Astyanax mexicanus: one gene and its partners. The protein of the gene in region 1 binds, or shares a complex with, the protein of each later gene. Links are inferred from orthologs where the notes say so. Each region holds a gene or a part of one and is shown in the gene's direction. Other genes may lie near its edges.

Region 1 (8,472 bases):
ATTCAACACTTTTTGTACTTAAGTATTGCAAGTAGTTTATTTAAGCATTTTCTACTCAAGTACTGAGAGTAAAAGTATATGTACTGCGTTGTGTAGTTATTACAGAAAGAAGTCACTAAAAGGTCACTACTTGGTCTATCACTATTGTAAAATCAACTAAAGCTGTCAAAAGGCCAAGAGATTAGAGCGTCTACATTAATCCTTTGGACAGTGCAGAGCATCTACTGCTCTAAAAATGGACGGATTTTTAGTGCATCTGCTCATACTAAGCAATGAAATAGCATTTATTTTTTTCGCATGAATCTGAATGTTTTTTTATTTTAGAAAACAAACCCAGTGCGCTTTGACTTTGATGGATTGGTATTTGAACGGCGCAGTGCTTCTGTATGTGTAAGGAGCAGGGGGTGTAAGCATGAGCCTTGCAGGAATGGGCATCTGACTGTTGTCAGGGTTTTAATCAGTCAGTGGCACACCTGTGTTTTCTGCTGCCAAGATAGCAATAAGCCAGAAATGTCCCTGAACACACCTCACTTTCAAAGCACCACGCTCATCGGCATAGATATATTTATAAACTCCATCATTATTTTACGGCACAGATGGTGTAAGATGTAAAATTAGACTGTTGGTGGGGTGTCAGGCTAACAAAGCACCCAGCTCTCAGGGATTGTATGACGTCCCAAGGAAGTTAAACGGGTCTGTATGCTGTGCGTCTTTCAATTATGCCACCCCAAAATATTGCCATATTTTATTCCCAGATGAAAATTAAAAGAAACTAAATCACATTCCATTTTATTTTACTTAAGATTATTTTTGGATTGGAGCTTTGATGTAATATTCAATTTCTTCATGAGCAATAATTCACAGAAAAGCAAGCTTTATTATACTCTGGCTTAGACTTATTATCTCCTTCCTATGCCTTTATAAGTCTTGGCCAAAACTTCATTATCTCGTTCCTACTCCTTAATGATTATTTGTCATGATTTAATTATCTTGTTCCCATGCCTTAATAAGTCTTGGCCATGACTTAATTATCCCATACCCACATCTTAATAAGTCGTGACCACACATTAGGATCTCGTTCCCACACCTTAATAAGTCGTGGTCAGGCCTTAGGATCTCGTGGCCACACATTAATAAGTAATGGTCATGCATTAAGATCTCGATCCCATGCCTTAATAAGTCGTAGTTATGCTTTAGGATCTTGTGGCCAAACATTATGATCTTGTTCCCACACCTTAATAAGTCATGGTCAGGCCACAGGATCTTGTTGCCATGCATTAGGATCTTGTTCCCATGGTTTAAAAAGTCATAGTCACACCTTAGGATCTTGTGGCCACGCATTAATAAATTGTGGTCATGCATTAGATCTCTCTCCCACGCCTTAATAAGTTGTGGTCACACTTTAGGATCTCATGGCCATGCAATAATAAGTTGTGGTCATGCATTAGGATCTCGTTCCCACGCCTCAATAATTTGTGGTCAAGCCTTAGGATCTTGTGGTCATGCACTAGGATCTCGTTCCCACGCCTTAATAAGTCCTTGTCATGCATTAGGCTCTCGTTCCCACACCTTGGCTCTTGGCCACGACTTAATAATTGAATTCTCACGCCCTATTTAGTCATGGTCACACCTTAGGATCTCGTGGCCTTGCTGTAATAAGTTGTGGTCATGCATTAGGACCTCGTTTCCACGCCTTAATAAGCCATGGTCAAGCCTTAGAATCTCGTGACCACCCATTAGGGATCTCTTTCCTATGCCTAAAAGGTCATGGTCACGCCTTAAGATCTCATTCCCACACCTTAATAACTCTTGGCTCTTAATTATATAATTCCCATGCCTTAATAAGTTGTAACCACAGATTATGATCTAGTTCCCATGCCTTAATAAGTCATGGCTACGAATTAGGATCTTGTTTTTATGCCTCAATAAGTCAAAGTCACGCATTAGGGTCTCTTTCCTATGCCTAAAAGGTCGTGGTCACACTTTAAAATCTCATTCCCACACATTAATAACTCTTGGCTCTTAATTATGTAATTCCCACACCTTAATAAGGTGTGATCCACAGATTAGGATCTCGTTCGCATGCCTTAATAAGTCATGGCTACGAATTAGGATATTGTTTTTACGCCTTAATAAGTCATAGTCACATCTTAGGATGTCATTCCCATGCCTTAATAAGTTGTGTCCTCACTTTTTTTTTTTTTACATGATGTCAGCTTAGAGGCGGAGTCATACCTTTTTTTTTTAATGTGTTTCTTAACTTCCTCTTTTGAGGTTGAAATATTTGTGTTAAATTGGCTTCAAAAGAAGCAAAAATGAGACAATGGGCTCTATTAGCTGACCTTCACATGGGAGAAAAAAATGACTGCATGCCCTTTAGGGCGCCCTGTCCTGCAATAAATTATAATTGTGTCGCCTCTAGAGCAAGAAAAATCAATAATGTGTTTTAATGAGTGTCCTTATGTGGTTTCCCCTCCTATACAAAAAGGTGTGCTATTAAGAGTGTGATTATTACTGAAAATCTGATGCGTCTGTATCAGAAACATTATCAAGAATGCTTATTTCAGAGCAGGAAAATATTAAGTGTTAAGGGGAGGGGGGGGGGGGGGGGTCAATGCCATTGACGGCTGAAGGGCTAGTAGTAATGCTGTATGAAACAGGGGTGATGTTTTCCATTTTCTTGGTCCCATTCAGGAGATAATCAGCTGCATTTCGGACCAACTGCAGACATAGCAGATACCCAGGTACAGTGAGGTTCAGTAGGCGACACAGGAGGAAATAAGCTGATAAAAAAAACTTCCTCTTACAACGGTACTGATTTTTTTCTCAAAATGTAGGTTAGTGTCGAAGATGAAACCTTCAATGAAAGATTCTTTTCATGCTCATGCACGTTGGTGTTTAACGGCCAGAGTTCACTGGCTATTATGCTAACTGAATCAGGATTTCCAAAGATAATAATGTCAGTTTTGTCTTGGTTTAACTTAAGGAAATTCTTAGACGCCCATCATTCAACATACCTTAAACAATTCAAGCAAGAGAGTGAATAATAATAATAATCATTATAATAATATACAATTGGAAATTAATTTATATTTTATATTAAAAAATTTAACAAACCTACACCGTCTGTAACACAGAGCGCACAAGCTATAGTTTTATATATAGTTAACTCGAAAAAAAAAGCATGCCTCTGCTGCCCCCTGCAGTATAGATAGTGATAGTGCAACAACAACAGCAGGCCAGGCTTACTGGTTTACCCATGCCAACTTTGACCTGCTTTCACTTGCAGAAGGGGGAAATTCATATAATATATGTAATGTAGAGCAAACTTGCTCCTAAAATCCAGTTTTTTATGAACAGTTGTATGTTTCTATTTTTTAAGCTGTTTCATCATATGGAGCTTCTTTATTCTTCTGAGAGACTTCTTACTCACACTTGCTAGTTCCCCTAAAGCTCAGCCACTCTATTCATAAACGTGTAGTGACGCCTCAGGTCAGCGGGAAATGGGTTAACTCAGTTGCATAACCAAATAACGTTTGGACCTACTTGGCTCCTGTCAGTGTGTCTATGCTATTGTAAAGACGGGAAAAGTATGCCTTGTGCAGCTTGAAACTTGCAAAATGCGTGAGCTAATTTTCTTAATTAATTGTGGTCGTGTTTTGGGTGTAACATTAAAAAAACGTAAATAAGCGTATCACTTGCCATTTCCGTTATGAGCCGTTTCTGCTTTTCTCTTGTGCAAATAACACATCAGTGATATATGCGTTGGGTTGTTATGTGCTTACTTCGCCACTTGACTACAGCAGCGTTACACCTGTTCTGTCGAATAATGCTACCCATATAAATATGTGCTCTCTAAAGACATTGCGCATGCGCTGACCTACCCTTTTTGATGATTTCTTGTGTGTGTGTTTTTTACAGAGACTGTAAAAAAAGATGGACGCCGTGTCTCCGTTCCCATTCATTCAATGAAAATGAAGCCAAAATCTTCCGCCATGTTGGCGATCCTGACACCCGATTCTGCGCAGTAGAGACCAGAGGAGGGAGAAAGTCTGTGGATAGCAACCTACTCATTTGAATAACCCCGCCCCTGAGGGCTGCCTCGCGGTCACAGACTGCAGAGCGGAGCGGAGCGGAGCTGACGGTCTGTTATTGGTCCCGCCCATAAGCAGCCCTTTTACAATAACCACACCTTTTTGAATAGAGCTGAATAACGTTTTAAAAAATGAATTCTGTGTGGATATTAAATTTTAACAATGTAAGCAGAGGATACACTAGCTGTTGCATTTAAATAATGGAGGTAGAATTACAGTATATTAGAAAAAAACGTGATTGAGAGTTGTCTGTTTTGCCATTGAAACCTATGGGGATGGGTGGAGTTACACAGCTTTCTGCAGCCGAACAGCAGGGGGCGCCCGACCTGTGGTGGCTTCACTTTTGAGAGACGATGCTCTGTCCAGCTATATACAGTCTATGGTTTTTTATAATAAGTCTATTTCTTTGTGCATTAAACAACCTAGACGCACTGTCATTGTACGAAAGTGTAAATGGAAATTATAAATAACAATAAAAACAATTATTAATATTATTTTATTTTTTTTATGAAAAAAGGAGGTCGTAATTACCTTTCATTAACATAAATTTACCATAATACAGTGATTTATGCTATGCAAATATACTAGCTAGCTATCGTTACATCTACTGGAAATTCTACTGGGAACATGCTGAAATATGGTGCTTCTTTTTTATTTTTACAGTTAAATATACACTAGGGTAGCACGGTTTAACAAGGTAACATAACTCGACATAACACCCAGATCACCGAAACACATTCATTCATTCTAAAGACCACAATTAGACACTTTAAGGTGTTTTAACCAGGGCACAGGACCCTGTGAACTGCAGTACCAGGGTTGCAGTACTGTTCCTCAGCAGTGCGCTATTCGCCCCCGCCAGCAGAGGCGCTGCAGGGAGTTCGGCTCTACCTACAGCTCGAGCTGCAGAGGAAGCGCGCGTGTTGTGGTTGTGGAAGCAGCAGCAGCAGCGATGGCGAGCTCCGCGGCGAAACAGCCTCAGAAAGGCGCCGCTAAAGGTCCCGCAGCGCCCGCCGGCGGAGCGGCCGCCGCCGGGGCGGCCATGCCCCTGGCCTCTCCGCTCATGGGGGGAATTAACAACAAGAAGAAGAAGCCGTTTCTGGGGATGCCGGCTCCGCTCGGATACGTACCCGGTCTGGGGAGAGGGTGAGCCGGCTAGCAGCTTTAGCATGTGTGCGAGCTAACGTAGCTAACTAACTCTAGCTAATAAACAGAACCCTGATAGTAATTCTGTTTAGTTTATCTTTAGCTATTTATCGGTTACAGTCCTGAAGACTTTGTATGCGACCCGTATTAGCCTAATGCTGAACATTCACTGCACGACTCTGAAAAGTCTTTTAACAGACTAAAATCTGACACCCCCTCACATCAAAACACAAGTCACAGACTTTTTACTTACAGGCTAAGATTTTGCAAAGATTAGGCATCTTGCATGGTCACTTTTCGCAAGATTGCAACTAGGTTCTTTCTGAGATTATTTCCCGCCATGCTTCTGGTGGAGTTTACATACAATAACTGTTACATATTATAATACAAGTAATGTGTATCAATACTGTGATTTATCAGAGACTCACAACTTTTGTCCCCAATTAACAATTTATTTTTCTGCCACACTCATGGTTCTTGATATATTTTTTGATAGAATACATTTTGTGTTCAACTCTGCCTATAAACCTCCCCTTTTTGCTACAACCTTGTATAGCAAAGAGTCACAGTTTCACTGCTATACATTTGATTTAGATAAAATTAATGCAATAAAGATCATTCTTGAAAAATGTGTAATGTTATTTATTAAACTTGTTTGTATTACAAATAAGACTGCACAATAAGACAAAGTAGTGCAAAATAAAAAGACTTTAAATATAATTACTTTAAAGTGCAACCTGTTTAAAATACTGCACATATTAAAGTAATAACCATAGAAGGCATATGAACTGCAAAATGTGTTCATTTATAAATAGTTTGTAAACAGTCACATGAAAAATATTCTTGCCTTACGGCTTCCGCAGCTCTTCTAATGTTTGTGGACCTTGTTCACTTTTTGCGTGAGCCAAGTCTCAAGACTCTCATTTCAGATATCAGCTAGATTTTGAACAGCATAGGGTATGCTTTTATTTACATTTAATGGTTAAGTAGGTGTGTAACCTACACAATCATTATCACTCTGTCCTGAGTACTCCACCACTATGACCAAGATTGACCATACAGGTTAAAACAAAGCCGGTTGTCCAGCAAGATCATACTAGTCAACCAGCTTAAGTATAGTCAGGCAGGAGCTGGACACTCAGCATGCTTACTTGTATGGGGTATGTTTTTGTGTGGGTGACCAGCATTTCAACCACACTGACAATTAAAGACCTGCTGAATGTTTTCTACCTGCAGTGCCACAGGTTTCACCACGCGTTCTGATATTGGTCCTGCTCGAGATGCTAATGACCCAGTGGATGACCGTCATGCTCCCCCAGGGAAGAGAACAGTGGGAGATCAGATGAAGAAGAACCAAGATGATGATGATGAGGATCTGAACGACACCAACTATGATGAGGTAACTAAGTATAAGATAAGAGAAGCTGCATTGTGTTATTAAAATATAGACAACAGGGGTATTGAACCTGCTCACATTGGGCCAGTGTGGCTACAGTTTCTTATTCTTAACAACCAGCTGCACGACTGATAACCACCTGTTTGAGCTACGTTCACATTACAAGCCCCGTTGCTCAAATCTGTTTTTTTTTTTGTTTTTTTTGCTTAAATCGGATTTGGCTACTCTGACGGTTCACATTCACAAATGAAAGTGATCTGTATGTATCTGTTTGTAATGTAAAGAAATCTGTCCCTGAAACGTCTCATATGCACATGTATAAACGTCACTTTCTTCACCAACAACAATAAAACGTCATATTTGATAGACGACTCGTAGCTTTATAAAGGTGAAATGGATGTGTTAGCAGCTCATATGTGGAGCATCTTTTGCTGGAGTGGAGAGTAAACAGCTGGTCTGCAGTACATGCTCAAGTTGAGGAGGTGAAAAAAAAAAAAAAACTGTCATACTGGACACCCACAAGAACACTATATGCTGCTTATATTGTTTTAATAGTAGTGATTTAGATGGTTAATTGGCTTTGTTATTGAAGAATACTATACCTTGTTGATCTTTATGTCCTTTAGTTTAATGGTTATGCTGGGAGCCTGTTCTCCAGTGGACCATACGAGAAAGATGACGAAGAGGCAGATGCTATTTATGCAGCACTGGATAAAAGAATGGATGAGAGGCGAAAAGAGAGAAGGTAAGATCTCTTTCCTCTAAACAAAGAAGTCAGATTAGGAATTATATTTAAAAATGGTTTCTGTTTGATGCAGTACTTTTTGTGCTATATTGTTCATTTTATGCTGCCATAGGTAGTTTTTTTCAGAATATTTTTACACAGAAAAAAGGTTTTCTGACCTAAAATTAATGAATAGGAGTTTATATATATATATATATATATATATATATATATATATATATATATATATATATATATATATATATATATATATATTTCAGATATTCAAAATGGTATCTCAGTATTAATTTGTTTATGTACATTCAATCATATCCAAATCAAACAAATATTGTTGTGTAAAATATTAAAATACTATGACACAGAATTTACATAGTTAATTAAAGTCCTATAAATATGAAGTATTTGGAAGTTATGTGCCTGTAATGATTAAACTAGAAATTTTTGCAATCATGCTTGTTTTCTATCCTTTTGTTAATATCTGTGTGTTAATTAAATGTGTATTTTTATAGGGAGCTGAGGGAAAAAGAGGAGATAGAGAAGTATCGTATGGAGCGTCCCAAGATCCAGCAGCAGTTCTCAGATCTGAAGGTACATATACAAATTCTTAAGTGGACCAAGTGGTCTCCTGCTTTAACTTGATAATTTGTTTTAATTTGATATTAAATATTTATGGAAACACATGTTCTGCTCTGTGTTTGTGTAGAGGAAGCTTTCTGAAGTATCAGAAGAGGAGTGGCTGAGTATTCCAGATGTGGGAGATGCGAGGAACAAAAGACAGAGGAACCCGCGCTACGAGAAACTCACTCCTGTTCCTGATAGCTTCTTCGCCAAGCACCTCCAGACCGGAGACAACCACACCTCAGTTGACCCCCTACAGGTAGTTAGAGTCACACGGCGTCTCATGTTTTTGTATCATTAGAATTGCTCTTGTAGATCATTACTGTAATTAAAATATTTAAAGTATTTTTGACTTTAGTCAGACTTCAGATGCTAGTCTGAAAGTTTTACTTTGGTATAAATTGAAATCTGCTTTTTGCTTTAAATCAGTAATCAGCAAATCAGTTTTCATTAAATGAACACTTGACTTTTTG
Region 2 (8,248 bases), on another chromosome or scaffold:
TGTTTACACCTGACTTTGTGTGTGTTCAAGTAAAATCCAGACATCACAAAACATCGAGATAAAAATGGACAGGTTTTGTAAAAATGTACCTGAACCTGCTATTTGATGGCTTCCGGCTCTCTCCCTCACTTTCTGCATTGTATACAGTAGCGCTTTAACACACAGCCACTTAACAAATACTAATATTAGAGAAAACACTGCAATAGTTTTGTGTTCAGTGTAAATGATTAAGTGTTTTCATTTATTCTGAAAGTGCTTTTTTTGCCATGTTCAGCTAAATAAATTTGGTTGCCACATATTCAGTGTATTCTTTCAAAAAAAAAACATGATAAAGCATTGTATTATATATTATGTATCTGATTGTATATTATACAGATTTACTCCATTTATCAAATTTATTAAGAAATCAGATGTCACTTGCAGAATAATGACCAGGGCTAGATAATGAAACGTCTTAAACACTGCAGTAGGTTTTGATGTGAGACACTTAACCACACTTTCTCACCCTCTTCAATCTCTGCTTTTATTTTTATCACCCCATTTTCCAGCTAAACTGGCTCGTCTCTCTCTTTCCCTCCCTCCGCTGGAACTTTCGCTCCCTCTCTCTCCCGGCCCCAAAGGAGGATTCTGGGACAGGACTGACCACAGAATTGGTCGCAGACGGGGAGTTTCGAATGGAAGTGATCCTGAAGAAGATGAGGAGGAAGAGCAAGAGGATGAGTCATCCAGAAAAGTTATTGTCATCACGGAAACAGATGTTCACAAGCGAGTAGGCCTGAGGAGCTTGCTAAAATCGCCCAAGGAACCCTTGGACAAAGAGAATCGTGATCACGGAAGAAATGTGTCCTTTTTTGATGATGTCACTGTCTATCTTTTCGATCAGGTACCGGTCACACATTTAACTTTGTGTAGAGACTAAAATGTGTCTAATATTCTAAAAGAACTGCCTTTAAATCATGTTCTTTGTCCAGAGAGAGGAGAAATGTTGTTAATGTAATTTTCTTGTTGCAGTAAGGCAGATGTTTACACTTGATTTGTTCTTTACTAATTAACTTATCTTGTAGGAAACTCCAACTAATGAGCTGAGTTCTGGCTCTGCACCCACAAGCCCGTCTCCCCTTGGAAAGCCTGCTCACTTCGATGGACTTGGTGAGGGCTTTCACATTTAGCTGCATAAAGCTAATGCAGAATTTACATAAACATATTAAATTAAATACATTGCAGAAAACTGAGAAGACCATTATTTTACATCATCATGTTGTGAACCATGAATATTCATTCAAAATGTTTGCTTGCTGATTAGATGAATACAGAATTTACATAACTTACTTTTAAATATTTTTTTAAGCATTTTACATCAATATGTACTAAATTATGTGCATTCCTTCAAATATGTTTGTCCACTGGTTAGAGAACTGCTGCCTTTTCACAACGAATGCTTGAATATAAAACCACTTCTTTTAAGTGCCAGACTGTCTGACTGTGAGTTTGAGTTGCATTATTTATTTGATTAATTTTTCACAAATCAGCACTAAATTTAGATGCTCTCATTTCACAGCCCCTCTTGGAGTGAAAAGCAGTTCAAAGCTCTGCTCAAGTCTATTTCAGGAGTACTGGATCCTGAAATCCTGAGCTTTTATATAACAAGAGATGAGTAGGAGAAGTATAGTGCTGTTGACCCTTTGATGTGGTTTAATCTGAGTTAATTAATCAGCTTCACACTGTGTAATCTAATGTTTGCATTTTAGATCAAATTAGCTAAAGCCTTTAATCTGATAAAATGCACTTCTTAAAGCTAAATATGGAAAATTATGTCTTTATTTATATAACTTTGGTAAAGTGGGCAGGACAACTGTTGTGAGAAATGACTAACACACTTCATTTACTTCTTTCACCCTTGATATTGGTTTTATAGACAAAACAAGACAACCATATTAGTGCTAAAAGAAAATGTAATTTTTTTAAGCCATCGTTGCACATTTTGTATTTAAAACAGTGGTGTAAATGTGAAGTTACTGCAGCAAGCTTGCACTAGTGAGTTCAAGCGCTCATGGAAGTTGTAGTTAGTTAATCTTAGTAATTTATTCATGAGACATTATAACTACATGATGTGTGCAGTATTGAATAATACTTCCTTACTGCCTAAGGCATCTACTTGTGGTAGGTGTAGTCCATCAAGTAATTTAGATGTTGGGATTGGGCCTCAGTAGGCCACAAAATACAAAATGCCCCAAAAGTTAGATTTAGAAGTAACCTGTATAACTTGTGAGATTTATAAACAGACCTCTTGGAGTCCATCTTAGAAATCCCAAGTCTAAGGCAGTATTTCTCAATTAAAAAAAATGAAGAAATGTTCAAAAAATTGCACCCTATGGTAAGCAAACCTGTTTCAAATCCAGTATTTGTTCTATGTACATTTGTCTCTTAATAATTCCCAGACCTACGAGATTGTTAAGGAATCTTAATTTTAACATCCTTGCTAAAAGCAGACCAACACACAGCACTAAGTAATAAATTGCATGTAATCATTTAAATAGTTTATCTTTAACATTATTTTAAAACAACACCAGCAACTCTTTTTAAAACTTTTTTTTACTACTGTCAATGCAAGTCAACTACAACATTTAACAGAGCTTTGATTTGGTTTAGGGTATTTTGGTGAGGTCAGTCCAAAATCAACAATATCCATATTTTAACAGTCTCATAATTCATCCACTACTAGCGTACATGATTCCTTATGTATTTCTTTAAAGTCTGTATCACTTCAGTATTCAGGAAAAAAATAATAAAAACATTGAATGAGAAGGCTTGTAGAAAAATGCAAAATATTTTTATGTTTTTTTTTATTATAAAAAAAAAGTGCTGTGGGACATTAAACTTAGCTTAATGCTTTATCTTTTTAATCACATGTATGTTTTTTCTGCTAGGAAGCAGCAATCACAAGACCAGCAAGAACAAAGACCACATAAAGCCAAGGTCTCCCACAGGTGTCAGTTCAGTCCCACCATCACGCTTCACCGTCAGCCCTGCCAACGACCCACATTTGGTGTGACCCACTATTCCTTCCTATACACCTGGAGAAAATGTAGCTCTCTGGAGTGACAGAGTTTCTCTGTGGTCATCGTGAAGCACGGTGGCTTCTGGAGGTTATTTTTTTAAATCAGGCTAAAGACTCCTGTTTTCAAGGCTGGAGGTGTTCCAGGTTTTACTTTGCTGCGGGAGCAGGTCCGTCCTGTGCAAAGCAGGAACCTCTACAGCCACGCAGCCGGGAGCTATGTAAAATCTGAAATGGAGTTTACGGCTATGCAACGGGAGTCTTATTGTGTACCAGCTTAACTGCTCTATTTTCATGGCTTCTTGAAGTACATTTGTATTCTGATCCTCTTCCACACAAGAGGAAGCACTTTCTTTGACCAGTACCTGTCTATTTGTGAGCTCGAATAGAAATATTGCCATTGTAAATTTGTTCTCATTGCAGTCAAACATCCTCGTAGGCTTGAGAGGGAAATCCCACCCTCCCTATCTAACAGTGCAGTGCTCTTTTAGTATTTGTACAAATGGATAGTGAATTTACTGTACAAACTCCATTTTAAAACCATTTATTTTAGATGTATTGTTAGAACGCACGACACAAAATGAACCTGCTACCTACTGTTATGTTTTATACTGTATTTTTTATTGCAAATTGTTGTTTGTTTCTGTATTTCTGTTTACTTCATTGTGTATTTAATTATTTATTTATTTATTTACTGTACGACTGCAACAATTGCACAATTACTTTGCTTTAATTGTTTTTGGATGCTGTGCATTGTTGAAATAAGTTGCTTCATCCATCTCATTAAATAAAACCAGATATTTCCATAAGTATAAATGCTTTGAAATATTTTATATCATTTACCGATTTCTAGATGTTAGTCTGTATCTATTTGTCATTTACTGTGTCTGTTTATAAATGTTATTTTTAACTGTGTATTTGACATGTTCTCGTCATTACTTACATTCAAAGCAATTACTGTTGCTAAGCATGGAGGAAAAATGAAGGCAGTGCACATGTCCATGAATTGATCTGTTTATTCAACTTTAATTTGATGATCAGTGATTGGTGTCGAAGGTGAATCAGAACATTTGTAACGTCGCTTTCAGCATCTGTTTCATTGCGAGGTTTCTTGAGGAGGTTCTGGGTAACCAGGAGTGGTAAAAAACAAAGACAAAAAAATAAAACAAAACGAATAAAACTAAATCACATGGAGACTGTGAAACATTTAATGAATTGTTTGATGAAAATAAATTGTACTGGCTTATAATAAATACCCTGCTGTATTGAAATTTTTGAGAAATATTTAAAATTTCCAAACAACTTTAATTTCATGTAATTTATTTAAAATAATTGATTAAAAAAATATAATAAAGCTTGATTGATATGGGCGCAAATTATTGAAATTTTAATTTAAAGCTGTGAATTGTGTTTTGTCAGAGCTGGTTTACGCTTCCTCAGATATAGCTCTGAAAAAAAAGAGTCCACTTTGACCAAATATTAAACTTTTTGCATTATTTGAGGTCTGAAAGCTCTGCTTTTTTGTAATTTCAGCCATTTCTCGTTTTCTACAAATAAAAAAGTGGTCTCTTATTTTTTTTTTTTTCAGAACTGTATGCCTTTTGTCTCAGTGAAACTACATTTCCCACAAGGCTTTGCGATCTACTGCGCTATTAACGACGCGTTTAACGTGCGACCGTTACGACGAGACTGCGTTGTTTGTGAATGGTTTTGGTTAGTTTCGCTCGTTTTTAAACAAACTGTATTTTGTTTGTAGTCTGTTACCCGTGCCGTGTTCCGTTGTGAAGGGTAGGAACGCGTTTATAAGGTAAGTAGTAATGAGTTTAGTCCTCTTTTAGAGCTTACTGAATGAAATTATAGCGAATAGTTCAGTCCGGTTCAGTCGTTAGTTACTTAGGCGTGCTTAGTTTACTGATAATAAAGTATTTTAAACTGTTATTTCTGTTAGAAACTATCACTGTAACTGCTTGCATTACCAGAACTTAAAGTGTGTGGGTTAGCACTAAGCATGCTAAAAAGTACTTTTAAATCATGTAGTTAAGCTAATCTACTGTGTTTTAGTCTCTTTTTAGAGTAAAGGAATTCTGTTGTACTTGCTTGTAGCTTACTAGCTCTCTTCAGTTCCAATTTCACATGTATTTAGTTTAATGATGTGTGAATGAACAGATAAAGACTGAGTTTACCATTCTCATATCTCCATGTTCTAAACAGAGTGGTCAGGTAGGCTCTAAGACCTTTTTGCTGTTTAACATTTTTTAAAAACATTTTCTTCAGTTTTTGTTATTGAGAAATACTGCCTTAGACCTGGGATTTTTAAGATGGACTTCAACAGCACAACAAACATCCTCAAGAGGTCTGTTTATAAATCTCACAAGTTATACAGGTTACTTCTGAATCCAACCTTTGGGGCATCAGCATCCTTAGCTGCACTATATTTGTTTGGGTAACCAGCAAAAGCTGTTACAGCCAGAAAAAAAGGTCTAGGGACCTACCAGACCACTCTGTTTTTAGAATTAATGTAGGCCTATGTGACCTATATTTGAAGAAGTGGTAACCAAAGCACACTGGTGCCATTTATTTTTCTGTCTTTTTTTCTAATGTTTATCCAAATTTTGTCCCAGTTTACACAGTTAATTACCCAACCCACTCATTAGGACCCCTATCATAATGCCCCAACATCAGGAGGATGTAGATTAGCACATGCCTCTTCAAATACATGCCTGCCAATGCAGCATTGCCCTGTAGCCAGTGCACTCGAAGGAAAGCACATCGACCCGGTTCGGATACATCAGCTCACAGAATTAGCTTTTATTTGTAATTAAATTAAGCTGTTTACTTTAGAAGGTGATTTGTATCCATATATAACCTTTTTCTTGGTACAAAGTTAAAGTTCCTTTATTTATCTCCCAAGGAAGAAATTTTGCTTAGACACAGGGCATGCTGCAATACAACAGACAGACAAACCTAGACAGCAACATGTGACCAGAAGCCATAACATTGCTGTACATCGATGACTTGGTGTATTACATTTTGTACTTCTACAGAACCCCACAAGCCCCATACAACAAGGGTATACTTAGACCTCAATGTTATTTAGCTGCTCTGTGGTACAAAATGGTGTTTGTACCTGTTATTCCTGCACAGGGGAACCTTGTATCTCCTACATGAATTCATGAGCTGATACTCAGGATACAGCGCATGTGTGTTATCAGATATAATATTTGCTTCTGGTATTTAAGGATTTATATCGAACAGAAGTGAATCATTTAGTTTTCCCACCCTCTATTAACACTCTCCAGCCCGTAAAGCTGTGGCTGCAGTAGATGCAGGCTTACTTAAAATGGACAAAACATATAGACTGGTATGATATATCTTGAGGTCTGCTATGAACAGAATCTGGCACAATATTTTGAATGCATAGACCTGACCCGCCTTGTTTCAGCAGTTCTGACACAAGACACATTGCTGTGGCCCCTGGAGATCAGTAAGAGTTGAGGGCCCAACATTGGCGGACCGCCTAACTCTGGTATCAAACCCAAACCCTTTTCCTCAATGGTCCAGTGCTTTAACAGCTGATCTACCACTGCCCACAAAGGTAGAGGTGGTGTAATGATATTTTCTAAGCAGTGGTTTGAGTATTTTTGATTTGTGTACATTCCTGTAAGATCATAATTAGATTATATTACTATTTCCAGGATGATAATTTATTATGTCAGAAAGTAAATGTAGCAATGAGAATAATACAAATGAGCAGTGCAGCGTGTTTTTCCAGACTGGTCAGAATTCCTTAAAAAATATGCTCATAAGTTTTCTCCTTTAACTTCTTTCAAAAGCATAAAAAAGCTTTGCTGATTGGAGCATACTGAGCAAAAGACTAAATAGGTGTCTAAATAATTTAAGAGACCCAGCTGATAACAGATATTACAAATTGACTCCTAATAATGCCTTTCTTCGCAGATGTCTTTAGCGGACGAGCTGCTGGCAGATTTGGAGGAAGCAGGAGATGAAGGTGAAGATGGACTGTATCCAGGAGGGGAAGGCGAGGAGAGTGATGGCGAAGACAGAGAGAGAGAGGACAATGGAGGCCTGGAAGACATACCAGAGGAGATGGAACTGGACTACAGTGGGGCAGAAAGCGTGTCGTCCATCGCAAAGTTACGAAACAGCAAATCAGTCAGTACCCCAATGAGTAACTCAATCACTGTTCATAACACCTGCTCACTTTCTCTGTCTCTAAACTGTGCTTCTTGTTTTGGCAGTTTTCTGAAATCATGGAGAAGATTTCTCAGTATGTAGGGAATCCACGCAATAACACAGATGGTAAGAAGCAACCTCCTGGAATTAGGTTGGTGGTCCACGTGGAGGTGTACCCTGAATAGCAGCACTCATTTATTGATCTTTTCCCACTTACAGTATCCGGCCCTGTGGAAGCAGACCCCGAGTACCGGCTCATTGTTGCTGCCAACAACCTGACTGTGGAAATCGATAACGAATTGAGTGAGTTTGGTTTAGTCATTTTTCTTCTTATGCTTTACATACGTTTTTAGTTTTATTGTTTGGATTGTGTGTTAAGGAGGATTAGGGGTGTCACGATTCTCTAAATCCTCTACTCGATTGTATTTCCAATTTTAGGGTCACGATTCGATTGATTTGGTTCTCTTTTTTCTTTTTCTTTTTTACAGCAGAGAGGCCTATGCCAGTTTTAGATTAGTCTATGGTCAGTCATTGGGTTGATTCAAGTGATCTGTAATACACCACATTAGGCACTAATGGTCGAATTTAAATAATTTAATTAAGATATATATGTAATTCTGTCTAGTGGCTTTTTTGGTAGCAGCAGTGTGCACTAGTAAAAACAGCAATGTCAACCTAGCAAAATAAATAATAATAAAAAATACAGGAACAGTCATGTACAAAATAATAGAACATTTACAGCCTTAACAAACTGAACTCCATCCTACTATAACAGTTAAACATGAAAAATAAGACTTTAAGATTTTTTCGGTCAAGTTTTTTTTCTTTGACAAAGATTATTGACTATTAACTTTATCAGAGAGAAAGATGCTCCTTAAGTTACCAAAACTATTAACATATTTGAGGCTAGACAAAACAACTGTTATTTTTTATATTTTTTAAGTTTTTCTTTAAGAAGATGAGAATGAGATGAAATATCGAAATCGTGACACCCCTAAT
Region 3 (8,041 bases), on another chromosome or scaffold:
GCGGGCCACATCTGGCCCGCGGGCCTTGTGTTTGACACATGTGCTGTAAATAAATGCTCTAAATGAGAATATTTTTATTTGGAATTTGGGAGAAATGTTGTCTGTAGTTTATAGAATAAAACAACAATGTTCATTTTACTCAAACATAAACCTAATAAAGTCAGATATAATGTGCCATTGGTATATTTTTTTAACAATTATTTTGTACAAAGCTGCAAACTTTATAAAAAATATATGTGTTTTTACATTTAATGATGGAAAGTAGCGTGAGAATCCACTAACCCTGGGTAAACACGAGTGGTAAAGCCACAGCCTTGGTGTTGGTTAAAGTCAGCAGGTTTTTGCTGCTGGTCAGAACGGTCAGCTGCTGAAAACCCTGACAAGTTCCCCATATAGGGAAATAATCGGCTGCATCGTTGGCCTACAGAGAACAGAAGAAATAGAACTGCATTTATAACAGTATTTATATAACATATATTTATTAAAAATGGAGAAAAGGACGTCCAAATGTCCAAAACTCTACCTTAATTGCCAGTTCATAGAAGATCTTGGACACTCGACTGAACTGGGATTTCTGAAGGTCAACATCTCCACCTGGTAGCAACAACCTACCATATAAAACAAAGATTTATTTAGAGACTGGACGGAGATCAGACAGTGATGAGGGTTTAATTTATCATAGTAATGTTTGGTATTGAGTATTGCTATCAGAATCTAAATGCGGGTATCGTGACAATCCTAATCTTAAATCTCTACGCCATTAATTATATTTTTAGAAGGAAAAATTCCGGTGCAATTTCCCAGGAAATTTCTAGTATAAATGCGCACAAAAATAACTTTAAAATACATTTTATTATTAGGATTAGTGTCTTGTACATTGACCTAATTGCAAAAGTAAGATATGTAATTAAAAACGACTGAACAAATAGCATTTGTTACCCATTCTCCCCACTCTCTAACTATAAACTTTACCATGAAATATAATTATTACAATCCTTCAGAAATGTTATTTTTTTGCATTGTTGTGTCTAAATCTAAGTCTAAATTCCATCTATGCCTTAAAAGTATTTTTCATATTTTTAAAACTATTTTTCACATATTTTCATAATAAATCCATAATATTTAAGCTGAAATACACTTTTTAGTTGTGTCCCCGGGTTTTACTCAGTCCTGTTACTGTAGCTCATTACCCCATCTGCTGAAACATCTGAAACATTCTACAACAGGAAGTCACATCAGCTGGTTCTTCTGAAGACCACGGGAAGACCAAAATTAAGTAAAAACTACAAACTCATTCCTGTTACTTTCAGTCTTGTTACTCAAGACATAAAAAAGTCCCAGTAACAGGAGTTCCAGTATTAGGAAATTAGTTCCTTGTAAAAAATGAAGTAAAGTTGCATGATTTGATCAATATATATATATATTTTTAAAGTTTAATATATGTGTTAATAGACTCAGAGTAGAAAAAAAGATTTAAAAATAAGTTTAATTTGGAAGAATTACAACAAGCAAATGTCACCCCTTCGGTGGAATGGCGGACATATATTTTTTGAAAGATTGGGAGTACCTGTGGATATATTAAATATGAATTTCTATTTTGACTTTTGATGAAAAAAAAAAACTGAAACACTAGTGGTCTACCTGCATAACTTTGCCCAAAAGCTTTAGTACATTTACAACGAGAAATATAGTAAATAAACCTATTTTTATTTTTAATCCACTTGTATGTCTTATTATATTGGACAGAGACATGTACTATTGTACCATTATATTTACAATCAATAAATAAAAATACACATAAATACATAAAATAAGTTAAGGTATTTTAGTTCAACCGTAAGAAAAACGTAAAACATAAAAAAATACTGTGCACTAACCCGTTTATTGCATAGAATATTTTTGTGTAGTCCTCTTCTGAGCCATTTATCCTGCAAAAACAGATAATCTTTAGGTCAGTCACCTGATCTCTGACCTGTAGAATCTGTAGTTTATATTCATGTTAAGCTCCTAAAAAAAACCCTACCTTATTGGCACAACCCGGGCACCAGCCGACTCCAAATACTTCACATAAGAAGCGGCTATGTAGGAGGATCCTTGGGCATGAGTGTCACTTTCTAGGTTCTCCTGAGCTAGAACACCTGATACAGAACAGGAGGGAATATAAAGAGTCATATGTTCACAAAATTCTCAAATTTACAAATTTTATTTCACTTTTTCAGTTTTTTTTTTAAATTGAAGTCATTAAAAGAGTTTATCCTGCGTTTGCTACACAGGGGATGCTTTCTACTAAATGTTGGATTAGCCCTGTTGTGACAATTTGATTGCATTCAGCTTCAGGAGCTTTAGAGAGGTCAGGATATTGGATAAGATGATCAACACCCAAATCCCAACTCTCAAACCCATCACAACCCATCTTCCAACCCTTAAACTATTGGCAGGAGCACTAAATTTCCAGAAAACACAGGTCTGTCACTTCTTCACAGCTCAATGATTGGAAAAAATGTGCACACAAACTCATCCCAAAATCCTAACTCACCCCCAACACACCAACTCATCCCCAAAACATCCCAACTTATCCTCAACACTCAAGGATTCAAGGAGACCCAAAGTCATCCCCAACATCTCAACTCATACCCAACACCCCAACTCATTCCCAACACATCCTCAACACCTCAACTTATCCCCAACTCTTCAACAATATCCCAACTCATCCTCAACACCCCAACTTATCCTCAACACTCAAGGATTCAAGGAGACCCAAAGTCATCCCCAACACACCAACTCATCCCCAACACATCCTCAACACCTCAACTTATCCCCAACTCTTCAACAATACCCCAACTCATCCTCAACACCCCAACTTATCCTCAACACTCAAGGATTCAAGGAGACCCAAAGTCATCCCCAACACACCAACTCATCCCCAACACATCCTCAACACCTCAACTTATCCCCAACTCTTCAACAATACCCCAACTCATCCTCAACACCCCAACTTATCCTCAACACTCAAGGATTCAAGGAGACCCAAAGTCATCCCCAACACACCAACTCATCCCCAACACATCCTCAACACCCCAACTCTTCACCCATATCCCAACTCATCCTCAACACCCCAACTTAAAATAGTTTATCCTGTTTTTTGTTAGAGTAACTGTAACATATATATTGTTTAAGAATATCCTCATCTACTAGAGTTTGCAGTTAAACATTGCTGTGAAGATTTGACTGTATTCAGGAACCACAGCTAAGAGCTACAATCCCCAACTGATTTTAACAGAAAACAACAGAAACCCGCTCAGAAAACACAACTCAGATCTGGAAGATGTTCTTTTCTCCACAAAATCCTCCATAGAACCGCTCAGAAAGACCCAGTAAACCTAAAGAACAATGGCGAGATGTTTCCAGAACCTTCCAGAGAACCGAGAAAAGCCGGCGGAGCTTCAGCTCCAACCGAGTCCAGCTTCCGCAGGGCGTGGGGAGCACTGACGGTACAGACTCAAAACGCCATATTTATCACAGCAGCAGATCTACAGACGTTAGAAAGCCGTTAAACGTCCGTTAAACGCGGTTTTCCGCGAGACTCACCGATGACGGGTCTGTAGTTGAGGGGGACGCTGGCTGAGGCGCACGCGGCGAGCACCGCCCAAACCACGGCCGGGAGACACATTCACTACAGGTGTGAAACTAATAGAGAGGCTAAAATCTGTTAAAATAGTCAAAACATTCAATTTAACGTTAATTAAACGTCAGAATCGCAGGTTCTCCGCGCGCGCGCCCACTGACAGGATGGATGCTCGTGCTGCTGCGCGTGAACTGCAGTTTAGCAACAGCAAAAAAAAAAAAAAAGAAAAACGTGAAAAACGAGAAACAAAATAAAACTAAATTAAAATGTATACGTAACAGTTTACGCATTTTGATGCATTTACATTCATTAGTTGTTTATTTTACTGCGAATTATAATTTTTGTAATATATATTTTAATATTTTAATCTTAGTAAATTATAATTTTTATAAAAAATCAATTTCCAAAGCTCAGTTTTGGAATTTCCATTGCCACTTACCAGCTGCAAGCTCTAAATAACTAAATAATTTAAACAATATTTTTTTTTCTTTTTTTTATCTACTTTTACAGCTTATACATGTTTTGTGTACTTTTACTTTTAGAAGCTTTAGTTAATTTCGCAAGCAAAACAAATTTTTATGACTAACTTTCAATGAAATAATAAAATAAAATAAATATGTCAATTGTGAATAAAAACATATTAATATTGTTAGACCATGGATTATTATATTTTTAATTTCTCACTCATAAGCAAAACCCTTTTTCGCATTTTTGTATTTCTTTTTTTATATTATAAATGAATAAGCGTACAAAAAACATAAATAAAATAAATGATTGCAGTCATTAGCACAAAAAACCCGTGGTGTTATAAAATAAGGTGAAATATTTAGTGAATAAAATGTTATTCGTCTAATTATTTAAAAGTCGTGTTGCTCTCAGGTGATGCTGCTGATGAACTCACAGTGAGCAGTGTTCACACATCCCATCGGTTTGAGGTTAGAACCTGCATGAGATTATAGGTTATATTCGACCAGTAGCTTCGATGGCACCCGTTGTGGAGATACAGGTTTGTGTTAATTTTATATTTCAGTTTTTAAGTCAAAATAGAGCCACTAGCAGTTGCTAAAATGGTTAATTTATGTGTTTTAAATAAATTTTGAACCCATAATGAAGTATTGTAGCTCTTAAATGTCAACTCTGCCTGGAATGAATCAGAACTGGCTGAATATTTGAAGCCTATCATACTACACGGTGTTTTCCTGATTATTCTGATTAATCATGCTTTAAAAAGGATGAACGGTGCCAGAAACAGATCAAAATTCAGGTTTTAAACATAATAGTGAACAGGTGGTGATGTTTCGCGCACATGAACGCGCGTCTTCCCGAGATGCACATTGGGTACTGCAGGAATGGCGGACGAAGTTGAACAGGTTTGGAGATTTTAGCTGTTTATTTTATTTAATCTCATTTAAAACACATAATCTGAGGCTAGTCTATGTGGTCAAGATTTCATAATATTAGGATGATCGATTAAACCAGTTTTAACGGTTTATAGGTATTTATATGCAGGGTAATAGTAAATTTAGCCGGCTCTGCTAAGCTAAGCTAAGCTAACACAGCTTTTATACAGGGTTATAGTAAGGTTGGATGGCTATGCTATGCTAAGCTAACACAGCATTTATATGCGAGGTATTAGGAATATTAGCTGGCTGTGTTAAGCTAAGCTTATGCAGCGTTTATGTACAAGGTAATAGTAACGTTAGTTGGCTTTGCTAAGATAAGCTAACGCAACGTTTATATGCGGGTTAATAGTAAGGTTATAGCTAGTTGTGCTAAGCTAAGCTAACGTAGCGTTTATATGCGGAGTTATAGTAACGTTAGCTGGCTACGTTAAGCTAACTTTGTTTTCTGTTTTAGTGCCTATAAATCCTGTATTTAAGCAACTGTGGAGTAAATTATTCATCTAGCTGCAGCACTTTTTTAGTAAATTAGTATTTTGCATATTTTAGCTAAAATCTTAATCTCTAAACAGTATTCATATCTAAAATGTTAACATAGGTTACATATAAGAGATAGATAGATAGATAGATAGATAGATAGATAGATAGATAGATAGATACTTTATTAATCCCAGAGAATATAGTAATACTATCACATCAGAATGTTTTTTTCTGTATCACATTTCTCTTTGAGGACAGATCTGCAGACTCCCAGTGTCCCTTAATCGTTTTTTTTGTCTTTAATGGTACTCTACCATATAAAAATAAATAAAGAAAAACATTGAATGAGATGGTGTGTCCAAACATGTTTACTGGTACTGTACCTAAAAGTAACTTGAATTGTGCATATCTTTCTTCTTGTCATATAGTGTCGTTACAAAGAACTTGAATTTGAGGTACCATAAATTGCCCCCCAAAATGTTATGAAATAGTTATGATATTTTAAATTGTTCTGAGGTTTAAGAGAGTTATGAAAGAATGCACTGAACACATCAGCACCTTTAAAAAAAAAGCAAGCAAAATGTAAACATTTTAGAATTCGCAAGTTAGAATGTGCAAAATCTGTTCTTGGGTGGAAAAATACAATGCTGTTAGTTAAATGCACATTAGTATCAGCAGGTTTGACACTTCCCTTTAAGTCTTATGTTTAAGTTTATGTATAACTTTATAATTTCATTTGCAGCAACAGACCACCAACACGGTCGAGGAGCCGCTGGACCTCATTCGGCTGAGTCTGGATGAGAGAATTTATGTAAAGATGAGGAACGACAGAGAACTTCGCGGCAGATTACATGTAGGACTTTTTATAACTAACTGTGTGTGTGTGTGTGTGTTAGTGTGTGTGTGTGTGTGTGTTAGTGTGTGTGTGTGTGTGTTAGTGTGTGTGTGTGTGTGTTAGTGTGTGTGTGTGTGTGTTAGTGTGTGTGTGTGTGTGTGTTAGTGTGTGTTAGTGTGTGTGTGTGTGTGTTAGTGTGTGTGTGTGTTAGTGTGTGTGTGTGTGTGTGTGTGTGTGTTAGTGTGTGTGTGTGTGTGTGTTAGTGTGTGTTAGTGTGTGTGTGTGTGTGTTAGTGTGTGTTGTGTGTGTGTTAGTGTGTGTTGTGTGTGTGTTAGTGTGTGTTGTGTGTGTGTGTTAGTGTGTGTTGTGTGTGTGTGTTAGTGTGTGTGTGTGTGTTAGTGTGTGTGTGTTAGTGTGTGTGTGTTAGTGTGTGTGTGTGTGTGTTAGTGTGTGTTAGTGTGTGTGTGTGTGTGTGTTAGTGTGTGTGTGTGTGTGTGTTAGTGTGTGTGTGTGTGTGTTAGTGTGTGTGTGTGTGTGTGTGTTAGTGTGTGTGTGTGTGTTAGTGTGTGTCATTAACTGACTGCAGACCTCTCATACTGTATCCTGTGTGTATATACACACTTTTTTTTTAGGCTTACGACCAACATTTGAACATGATCCTCGGGGATGTGGAGGAGACGGTAACAACGGTGGAGATTGACGAGGAGACGTATGAAGAAATTTACAAGGTATGAATTAGTGCTGTGCGATATGATGATAAATATCGTGGGGACGATAGAAAAGTGTCTTCAATCATCCCCATCATTTCTACAGTAATTTCATCAATTATTCATGCAAAAATATAAAGTAGGCTACGATGAAATGTATTGGCGTGCTTCATAATGTGGTTTTGCGACGTGACTCTGCTTTACGCTGTTTGACGGACACTTTAAAAAATGTTAATTGAGTTTATTTTGATAGCTCAATTCAAATACCTGTATAATTTTGAAAACATCAGCTGCTGCATCTACCTCATCTGTTTTTATTTGATACATATATATTGCTGCACTAAAAGGTAGTAATTCTTATTTGTGAAAGTTGGGTTTAATGTCACTTTGAAATAAAGTAATAAAGTCTCCATATTTTAAGAAATATCAATTTGTTTTTAGATATATCAGATAGATATAAAATGAGACAATATTGTTTATTTTTGTCGTCTGTTTCTGTCTTTCTTGTTTTTTATATTTTTAGTCTACGAAGAGAAACATCCCGATGCTGTTTGTCCGTGGAGACGGTGTAGTACTGGTTGCGCCGCCCTTAAGAGTTGGGTAAAAAAAAAATTAAGAATGGAAGCCACCCTCCTCCATCCTCCTCCACCCACTCCCTCCGTCTCTGTAAATTGTGTTCAGGAGAGCATACCTGTGTTGTCTTTTGGTAGATCACAGAATTGTGACTGTAATATTATTTTTTTATTTCTTTAGTTGAAAAGTCCTGTTGATGCTTAGCGTGCCGAGTTTTTAGGTTGATGCTAGGTGGTTGATTTTGTACGTTTCAGTTCATGGAAATTTGGTATTTTCACAAACACAATAAAACAAAATATCATGATTTGTTCTTTGATGGTGATTTATTCAGGATACTTCTGGTCAGTTTCAAATATTGTAAAACATCTCTGAATAAATTTCCTGTTTCTGAGTGTTTTCTGTTCTCGGTCTGATGCAGAGG

Evidence for each region. Proteins that work in one complex are often made in the same cells at the same time.
Region 2: prpf6 (region 1) and prpf31 share a complex: the UniProt entries of both Homo sapiens proteins name them as parts of the U4/U6-U5 tri-snRNP complex. The link is inferred for Astyanax mexicanus from reciprocal best matches to the Homo sapiens genes PRPF6 and PRPF31.
Region 3: prpf6 (region 1) and lsm3 share a complex: the UniProt entries of both Homo sapiens proteins name them as parts of the U4/U6-U5 tri-snRNP complex. The link is inferred for Astyanax mexicanus from reciprocal best matches to the Homo sapiens genes PRPF6 and LSM3.

What each region holds. Positions count from the first base shown.
Region 1 is NC_064420.1:15,937,435-15,945,906, reverse strand, and holds the start of prpf6 (pre-mRNA-processing factor 6), read left to right. Parts: upstream 1-5,008; 5' UTR 5,009-5,046; coding exon 5,047-5,240; intron 5,241-6,476; coding exon 6,477-6,639; intron 6,640-7,262; coding exon 7,263-7,381; intron 7,382-7,890; coding exon 7,891-7,969; intron 7,970-8,084; coding exon 8,085-8,258; intron 8,259-8,472. UniProt on the Homo sapiens protein: Involved in pre-mRNA splicing as component of the U4/U6-U5 tri-snRNP complex, one of the building blocks of the spliceosome.
Region 2 is NC_064413.1:29,851,801-29,860,048, reverse strand, and holds the start of prpf31 (U4/U6 small nuclear ribonucleoprotein Prp31), read left to right. Parts: upstream 1-4,721; 5' UTR 4,722-4,862; intron 4,863-7,012; coding exon 7,013-7,228; intron 7,229-7,314; coding exon 7,315-7,375; intron 7,376-7,468; coding exon 7,469-7,552; intron 7,553-8,248. Other genes in the region: uncharacterized protein lmtk3, read left to right, coding at 549-883, 1,065-1,149, 2,928-3,052. UniProt on the Homo sapiens protein: Involved in pre-mRNA splicing as component of the spliceosome. Required for the assembly of the U4/U5/U6 tri-snRNP complex, one of the building blocks of the spliceosome.
Region 3 is NC_064431.1:723,790-731,830, forward strand, and holds lsm3 (snRNA-associated Sm-like protein LSm3), read left to right. Parts: upstream 1-4,514; 5' UTR 4,515-4,607; coding exon 4,608-4,631; intron 4,632-4,887; exon of another isoform or gene 4,888-4,974; coding exon of another isoform or gene 4,975-4,995; intron 4,996-6,247; coding exon 6,248-6,358; intron 6,359-6,972; coding exon 6,973-7,068; intron 7,069-7,570; coding exon 7,571-7,651; 3' UTR 7,652-7,924; downstream 7,925-8,041. Other genes in the region: zgc:171566, read right to left, coding at 283-421, 524-608, 1,878-1,928, 2,024-2,138, 3,589-3,670. UniProt on the Homo sapiens protein: Plays a role in pre-mRNA splicing as component of the U4/U6-U5 tri-snRNP complex that is involved in spliceosome assembly, and as component of the precatalytic spliceosome (spliceosome B complex).